Oryctolagus cuniculus: one gene and its partner. The protein of the gene in region 1 purifies or fractionates together with the protein of each later gene. This does not show direct contact. Links are inferred from orthologs where the notes say so. Each region holds a gene or a part of one and is shown on either strand. Other genes may lie near its edges. The genes, in order: HSPD1 and SIRT3.

Region 1 (3,802 bases):
TCTCTGTCTCTCTCACTGTCTAATTCTGTCAAATAAATAAATAAATAAAGGGAACAACCAGGACTAGAACCACTACTCATGGGATACTGGCACTGCAGGCAGTAGCTTTTACAGCCACAACATCGGCTCCAGTAAATCTTCAAAGGGTTTACTTGCTCATCTGAAAGAAAAAGATTTTCCTTCCACTAGTTCACTCTCCCAAAAACCCACAACAGCTGGGGCTGGGCCAAGACCAGGAGCCTGGAACTCTGTTTGGGTCTCCCAAGTTCTGAGTACTTTATTCTGAGTATGTTGAATAAGCGCCAGGCAAAACTTAAGTATAAGCAATGTGAAGAGTATTGAATCTTGTGATTAATCTTGCGTTGTACACTTTATTATATTATAAGAGGACATTTTTATTCCCTGAGATTTTCATCTCCTATAATTTCATTCAAAGTTCTGCTCTGCAGAGAAGCAGAGGTCAGTTTTTGTAGACTAAGGATCATGATGAATTTGCCCTTGAGACCATGTTGCAGGACTGATAAAAATGATAGAATCTGCATGGAGATTTTTAAGTACTTGTTATTGAAGCTTGCTCATTTTTTAACTCTAAATTTTTAGCATATGAGATCATGTGACATTTTTTCCTGTGCATTTACAGGGGAGAACAGTAATTATTGAACAGAGTTGGGGTAGCCCTAAAGTAACAAAAGATGGTGTGACTGTTGCAAAGTCAATTGACTTAAAGGATAAATATAAGAATATTGGAGCTAAACTTGTTCAAGATGTTGCCAATAACACAAATGAAGAGGCTGGGGATGGCACCACCACAGCTACTGTGCTGGCCCGCTCTATTGCCAAGGAAGGCTTTGAGAAGATTAGCAAAGGTGCTAATCCAGTGGAAATCAGAAGAGGTAAGGATGTATGTGCGACAGCCATGACAAAATCTTGTCACTTGTTGGAAGTAAGGGTTGCCCATTTTGGGTTTTTTGTGCATCATATAATGAAGGTAAATCGTTGGGTGACCCTTTTCAGCGGCAGGCCATGTGACTAGATTAGGAACGACGTGGGAGTAGTTGTAGTGAAATTCTTGAAACTATACACATCTACCTTTATTTAGTCAAGTTCCAAAGCTGTTCTGGCCCTGTGTGTCTTTACTTAGTGTGTAAAGTTAAAGTTACTGTTAACTGCATGTCATTCAACTCTAGTTAGCAATGGCACTAGCACAGAAGCTGTGTATAGACATAATGTTAAGGCATTAACAATATTGTGAATCTATGTAACATGGAAGCCATGTGAGAGTAACTGTTGTAATGACGTACTCATATTCTTGAACAAGGTGTGATGTTAGCTGTTGATGCTGTAATTGCTGAGCTTAAGAAGCAGTCAAAACCTGTGACAACCCCTGAAGAAATTGCTCAGGTAAGGACCTTTTGTATATTAAAATAATAGTTTTTTGAAAACTTAGTACATGTGGCAATGTATTCCATAATCGTCACACCAGTATCGAGTAGCAGCAGCACTCAGTCACCAACATCGGAGTCATTTTTACTTATTGCTGAAACATTTGAAAGAATTCAGTAACTATAATTTGAATCTCGATGATTTATCTTGTTAGTTCTGTATGACCGCAAAATGGATTTGAGCATACATGAAAATGTTTTTAGCTGTTGTCCAAAGTACATTGTTTGTCAGTGTGTTTGTTTTGTTTTGTTTTGTTTTTTTAACTTGACAGAGTTAGACAGTGAGAGAGAGACAGAAAGGTCTTCCTTCTGTTGGTTCACCTCCAAAATGGCCACCACGGCCAGTGCTGGGCCTGTCTGAAGCCAGGAGCCAGGTGCTTCCTCCTGGTCTCCTATACCGGGTGCAGGCGTCCAATTACCTGGGCCATCCTCCACTGCCCTCTGGGGTCCACAGCAGAGAGCTGGACTGAAAGAGGAGCAACCGGAACGGAATCCGGCGCCCCAACCAGGACTAGAACCCTGGGTGCCAGCGTCACAGGCAGAGAATTAGCCAAGTGAGCCACGGCGCTGGCCCCTGTTTGTTAGTTTTAATATCACACATTTACAGAGGAAAAATGAGATGCCAGCATGTTTTTTTTTTAACTGCTGTTGTTTAAAAGAATTGTTTCGTGCTCCTCAAAATAATATAGCCAAATAATGAATTTAAAAAGAATTGTACAGAGAGCCAATATTTTGGTTGAAACTGTTGTATCATAAAATCTCCCTAAATGGAATTATTACTTTGAAAGTTACTAGGACAAGGGTTGTGAATCGAGGACCCTAGCCTTACTGTTTGATTCTAAAGACTGACTTGATTGTTTCAGGTTGCTACAATTTCTGCAAATGGAGACAAAGAAATTGGCAACATCATTTCTGATGCAATGAAGAAGGTTGGAAGGAAAGGTGTCATCACAGTAAAGGCAAGTATGTTTTTGATAGCTTGAATGAAACGTCCAGTAATCAAAACTGAGCGTTCCAAACAAAATCAGTCCATTTGTGGTTCAAATAGAATGTTCAGTGAATACTTCATTTCTTCATATATAATCTCAACGCATGTAAAAAGTGCCCTGTTTACTATTTTTTGATCCAGTTAGTAGTAATTTTTGCTAACTATATAGCTGTAAGAATTTTTTCAAGTATGAGTTTTTGGAGCTTTTGTAGAAGTGAAATTGGATGCAAGTTTGGTGTCTCTTCTGTGAAATCCACATACCTAATTCTTTGGCATTTCATAGGATGGGAAAACACTGAATGATGAATTAGAAATTATTGAAGGCATGAAGTTTGATCGAGGCTATATTTCTCCATACTTTATTAATACATCAAAAGGTAAGAACAAATCAATAACTAAAAATTTTAAGTGTACATTGCTAGTGTACGTCAAGCTATAGGCATTAGTTGGTAGCATTACCTCTAAAAAATAAGTGTTCTAAAAGTAATTATAAGAAATAAAGAAGGAAAACATGAACTTCTTGATCACTTTCGAATTGAAAGTTTTCTGTGTAAATAAATTGCATTGTTCAGTTTGAAATTGTTTAAAAAAGATTTATTGGGAAGACAAGTTAGAGAGAGGTAGAAACAGAAAGGTCTTCCATCTGCTGGTTCACGCTTCAAAGGGCCACAATGGCTGGAGCTGAGGTGATCAGAAACCAGGAGCCTGGAGTTTCTTCCGGGTCTCCTGTATGGGTGCGGGGGCCCAAGGACTTGGGCCATCCTACACTACTTTCCCAGGTGCATTAGCAGGGAGCTGGTTTGGAAATGGAACAGCCAGGATTCAAACTGGAGCCCATATGGGATGCCAGTACTGCAGGCCAGGACTTTAACCCTCTGTACCACAGCACTGGCCCCTGAAAATTTTTTTAAAGATGTATTTATTTGAAAGTCAAGAGTTAGAAAGAGAGAGACTCTCTGAGATCTTTGATCCACCAGTTCACTCCCAGGTGGCCACAACAGCCAGGCTGAGTCAGGATGAAGCAGGAGCCCAAGTACCTGGGTTGCTTTTTCCAGGCAGGGAGTTGGATTGGAAGTGGAACAGCTGGGGCATGAACCAGTACCCATATGAGATACGTGCGTCCCAGGTGGAGTCTACTTGCTACTCTATGAGGCTGGTTCCTGGTTTGAAATTTTGTTTTGTTTTTTTTTTTTGTTTGCTTTTTGTAGGTCAGAAATGTGAATTCCAAGATGCCTATGTTCTGCTGAGTGAAAAGAAAATATCTAGTGTCCAATCCATCGTACCTGCTCTTGAAATTGCCAATGCTCACCGTAAGCCCCTGGTCATAATTGCTGAAGATGTTGATGGAGAAGCTCTGAGTACACTTGTTTTG
Region 2 (4,513 bases), on another chromosome or scaffold:
CCCCGCCAGGCAGAGTGCTGGACCCCTGCGGCCGCACGGCGCCGCCGCCTCCTGGGGTCCTGCCCGGCCTGGCGCGTGTCCGCTCCCCGCACGGCGCCACCGCCTCCTGGGGTCCTGCCCGGCCTGGCGCGTGTCCGCTCCCCGCACGGCGCCGCCGCCTCCTGGGGTCCTGCCCAGCCTGGCGCGTGTCCGCTCCCCGCACGGCGCCGCCGCCTCCTGGGGTCCTGCCCGGCCTGGCGCGTGTCCGCTCCCCGCACGGCGCCGCCGCCTCCTGGGGTCCTGCCCAGCCTGGCGCGTGTCCGCTCCCCGCACGGCGCCGCCGCCTCCTGGGGTCCTGCCCGGCCTGGCGCGTGTCCGCTCCCCGCACGGCGCCGCCGCCTCCTGGGGTCCTGCCCGGCCTGGCGCGTGTCCGCTCCCCGCACGGCGCCGCCGCCGCCGCCTCCTGGGGTCCTGTCCTGCCCGGCCTGGCGCGTGTCCGCTCCCCGCACGGCGCCGCCGCCTCCTGGGGTCCTGCCCAGCCTGGCGCGTGTCCGCTCCCCGCACGGCGCCGCCGCCGCCTCCACGGACCCCGCACAGTACCCCGCTTTCTCGCCCACAGCCCCCGCTCACTTCTTCGTGTACAGCTCCTCCAGACGGTGCCACACGGCGGCCTGCCCGGGCCCGGAGCTCTGGCTCTGCTGCAGGAAGCCCGGCACGTCCTTCATGACGACGAGAACACGCACGGGAGCCCGACACCGAATTACAACCGACTACCGGGACCGTGGGGATGGCGGCCGGAAATGCTCGCTCACTTCCGGCGCCGCGTAGCGCGGGGCATGCCGGGAGCGCCCCAGGCTCCCCGGAGGCGGCTGTTGCCACGGCAACCGCGCGCCGCCTCGCCTCGGAGCGGAACCCGCCGCTGAGGCGTGGGCGAGGACGGGCGCCGGGGGTCGGCCTGGCCGTGCGGCCTCAGCTCTGGGATCCGGTTTCCCCCGTCAAGCGAGGATGGGGACAGTACTTTCCCAGGGGCGTCTGGCGAGGCCCCGGGGTAAAGGAAATGCATGACCACAGGAGGCGCTCAGAGTATTTCCCGCTGGGACCGCCCAGCGCAGCGCCCGTCTCTCCCTGGACGCACAGGGGCGGGGCCCTCGGGCGGGGCGGGGCCACGCGCCGGGGAGGGGGCAGGATGCGCAGGGGCGGGGCGGGACCAAGCGCCGGCGAGGGGGCAGTCCGTAAAGGGGCGTGGCCACGTGCCGGGGACGGGACGCAAAGGGGCGGGGCCCGCGGGCGGGGCGGGGCCACGCGCCGGGGAGGGGGCAGGATGCGCAGGGGCGGGCCCGCGGACGGGGCGGGACGGGACGTAAAGGGGCGGGACCAAGCGCCGGGGAGGGGGCAGGATGCGCAGGAGCGGGGCCCACGGATGGGGCGTGGCGGCACCTAAAGGGGCGGGCCCGCGGGCGGGGCGGGACGGGACGTAAAGGGGCGGGACCAAGCGCCGGCGAGGGGGCAGTCCGTAAGGGGGCGTGGCCACGTGCCGGGGACAGGACGCAGAGGGGCGGGGCCCGCGGACGGGCAGCGGCGTAGGGCGCGCTGGGGCGTGGAAAGGGGCCGACAGTGCGTGATCCTGTGGACGCGCGTGGCCGCGGAGGAAGATGGCGCTGTGGAGCCAGCGGGTCGTGGCCGCACTCAGGCTGTGGGGCCCGATAGGTGAGCGGGCCGGGCCGGCCAGAGGGAGGCGCCGAGCTCCCCGAGGCGTCCGGGTGCGCGCTGCTCGGGGCGTTTGGGGGCTGGGGTCCGTCCTCGATGCCGCCGTGCGGGTGTCCGGACGTTCCTGAGTGACCGGTCCCGTTCTGACCGCGTCCGTTCTGACCTAGTGTGGACGTTCCTGAGTGACCGGTCCCGTTCTGACCGCGTCCGTTCTGACCGAGTGTGGATATTACTGAGTGACCTGTCCTGTTCTGACCGAGCGTGGACGTTCCTGAGTGACCAGTCCCGTGCTGACCGAGTGTGGACGTTCCTGAGTGACCGGTCCCGTGCTGACCGAGTGTGGACGTTCCTGAGTGACTGATCACGGCCGTGCTGACCGAGTGTGGACGTTCCTGAGTGACCGGTCCCGTGCTGACCGAGCGTGGGCGTTCCTGAGTGACTGATCACGGCCGTGCTGACCGAGTGTGGACGTTCCTGAGTGACCGGTCCCGTGCTGACCGAGCGTGGGCGTTCCTGAGTGACCGGTCCCGTGCTGACCGAGCGTGGGCGTTCCTGAGTGACCGGTCCCGTGCTAACCGAGTGTGGACGTTCCTGAGTGACCGCGTCCTGTTCTGTCGGAGGAGCCCCCGCCTGTCCTGCCACGGCCGCCCTTGACGAGTCCCCTCGTGTGCACCCCAGCTTTCCGGCGGACTTCTGGGCCTGGGGCTCCAGGTGGGGACGTCAGGAGCCCCTGGCGTGGGCACTGCACCTCCCTCGCCGCCATGGCGCCCGGGCGCTTGTCCAGGAGCCGAGCTGAGTGTCTCTGAGTGACAGTGCCTTCTGACGCTGTCTGCCTCAGCGTGCAGTGGAGACAGCCGGACGCCGGGTCGGGCCCCCACTGCGTGTCCGGCTCTGTGCTTCTGGAAGGGCCAGCGGCCAGGACGGCTGCTCGCTTCCTTGAGCTGATGCAGGGCCGGCCGGTGGCCGTGCCCCTGCCTGCGCTGGCGTCAGAGCCGAGCGGTCCTTTGGGCTCTTGGAACTTGGGTCCTCAGCTTCAGGTTGTGGGGCTCTGGCGTGGATGTCCCTTTGCGTCTCTTAGTTGGCACCCGTGCCTGGCTCTCAGGGTCGCCTCCGGCCACTACCCTTAGAGCAAGGTGCCGGCCGCGAGTCGTCCGCCCGTTTTCCTCACGTGCCTGAGTGAGGAACTCCAGGCGGCAGCGGGCACACGGCCGTGGTCTGGGTGTCCGCTCCCTGTGTTTCTTGTGGTTTGCATATGGGCGGAGCTCAGCAAATGCCCTCGAGTAGACAGACGGCCTGCTGCCAGGTGGCAAGTGGGGGAGGGGCCGCGGTGCGGAGCCGGGGCTTCCCCTCCCGCCGGCTGCCGGTTTTCCTTGGAGACCTCCCTGCGCGAGCTCAGGGCAGGTGCCTTGCTGAAGTGCTTCACGCACTCCTCTTATAAAAAGCTCACTTTGTGTACGTGGAAGGCAGGATGACAGCAAGGGACAGAGAAAGAGGCCCTCCATCCACTGTCAGTCTTCAGTGGCCTCAACGGCTGGGGCTGGGCCAGGCTGAAGCCAGGAGCCTGGAGCCCTTCTGGGTCTCCCATGTGGGTGGCAGGGAGCCAGGTAGTGGGCCGGCCTCCCGGGCTTTCCCAGGCGCTCCAGCAGGGAGCTGAGCTGGCAGCAGAGCAGCTGGGACTGGATCCTGTGCTCTGGTGTTGCAAGCCACAGCGTCACCCGCTGCGCCACCGCGCTGGCCCCCTCGCGCCCCTGGGATGAGCAGAGGGAGGCGTGTTCCTCCCTGCTGGTTGTGCTTTCTGGGGGGATTCACCGCTGTCGTCTTTGTCAGCGAGACCAGCAGTTACCCCGTCTGCCTGCCTTTGTCCGTGACAGCTGAGGTGCAGGGCGCTGGAGGGACCCGACCCCTTTTGCGCCCCCTCCTGCAGAGTGTGCCTTCCATCCTCACAGGCCCCACCTCAGGGCTGCCCCCTGGTCTGTGGGGGCAGATGGGTGCCTGGATTACACTGTCGGTGGCCCAGCCTGAGTGGGAGGCAGGTTGACGGGAGCCAGGACTGTCCTCTTAGGGAGGAGGGCCAGGGACCTCTCACTGGGATTTATCAAGGAGCTGGCATTGGATCCTGGCCTTGGTTCTGTGAGATTTGGACTTGCTGAGTGGACCAAGGCCTGTTCAAGCAGAGAGTGTTGGGTGGGGAAAGGGCCTGGGAACACGAGGACTTAGGGGACGCAGAGAAATCAGGGGGGCCTTGTGTGCTAGAATGGGGTGCAGAGCAGGCAGTCCTGGAGGCTCGAAGCTGTCACCAGGTGGACGTGCCGGCTGAGATGCCAGGGCCCGTGGGGAGCAGAGCTCTGGGGGAAACCGCAGCGGCAGTGAGGTAGACTGGTTCACCGGGAGACTGCGGTGTCCATCCCGTAAGGACCAGAAGGTGGAGAGCAGACAGAAGTGCCCGTGGTCATCCTCCTAGAGGCGTCCTGTTCCTGTCTCCGACAAGTGTCCCAGCACGACCTGCAGGTGTGCCCTTGTGCTGTGCCGTTTTTGTGTCTGCGCTCCCTGGAGGCCTTGTTTACTTGCTGAGGTGAGGGTTAGGGGCTCCCGTTGCTGCAGGGGGCTGCGCACTGCAGACGGACTTGCCGTGGCGGAGGCGCACTGTGCTGGAAGACAGAGGTGGCTGCGAGGGTCCTGAGCTAGGGCAAGTCGCCCTGGTGACCCAGGAGTGAAGACGGGGTGCAGTCCAGGGCCTCCGAGCCAAAAGCTGAGCCCCAAGAAGCCGTTTAGCACCTCCTGTCTCCTCTGGCCGCAGACCTCAGCAGGACCTTTCAGGAGCTGCTGC

The links.
Region 2: the proteins of HSPD1 (region 1) and SIRT3 purify together in Homo sapiens (affinity purification with mass spectrometry; 3 studies listed by BioGRID and IntAct, counting the BioPlex papers as one, with this or other methods). This does not show direct contact. The link is inferred for Oryctolagus cuniculus from reciprocal best matches to the Homo sapiens genes HSPD1 and SIRT3.

Annotation. Positions count from the first base shown.
Region 1 is NC_091434.1:42,767,513-42,771,314, forward strand, and holds part of HSPD1 (60 kDa heat shock protein, mitochondrial), read left to right. Parts: intron 1-640; coding exon 641-893; intron 894-1,318; coding exon 1,319-1,401; intron 1,402-2,305; coding exon 2,306-2,401; intron 2,402-2,713; coding exon 2,714-2,807; intron 2,808-3,638; coding exon 3,639-3,802. UniProt on the Homo sapiens protein: Chaperonin implicated in mitochondrial protein import and macromolecular assembly. Together with Hsp10, facilitates the correct folding of imported proteins.
Region 2 is NC_091432.1:24,927-29,439, reverse strand, and holds the start of SIRT3 (NAD-dependent protein deacetylase sirtuin-3, mitochondrial), read left to right. Parts: upstream 1-1,615; 5' UTR 1,616-1,631; coding exon 1,632-1,686; intron 1,687-4,513. Other genes in the region: PSMD13 (26S proteasome non-ATPase regulatory subunit 13), read right to left, coding at 610-704.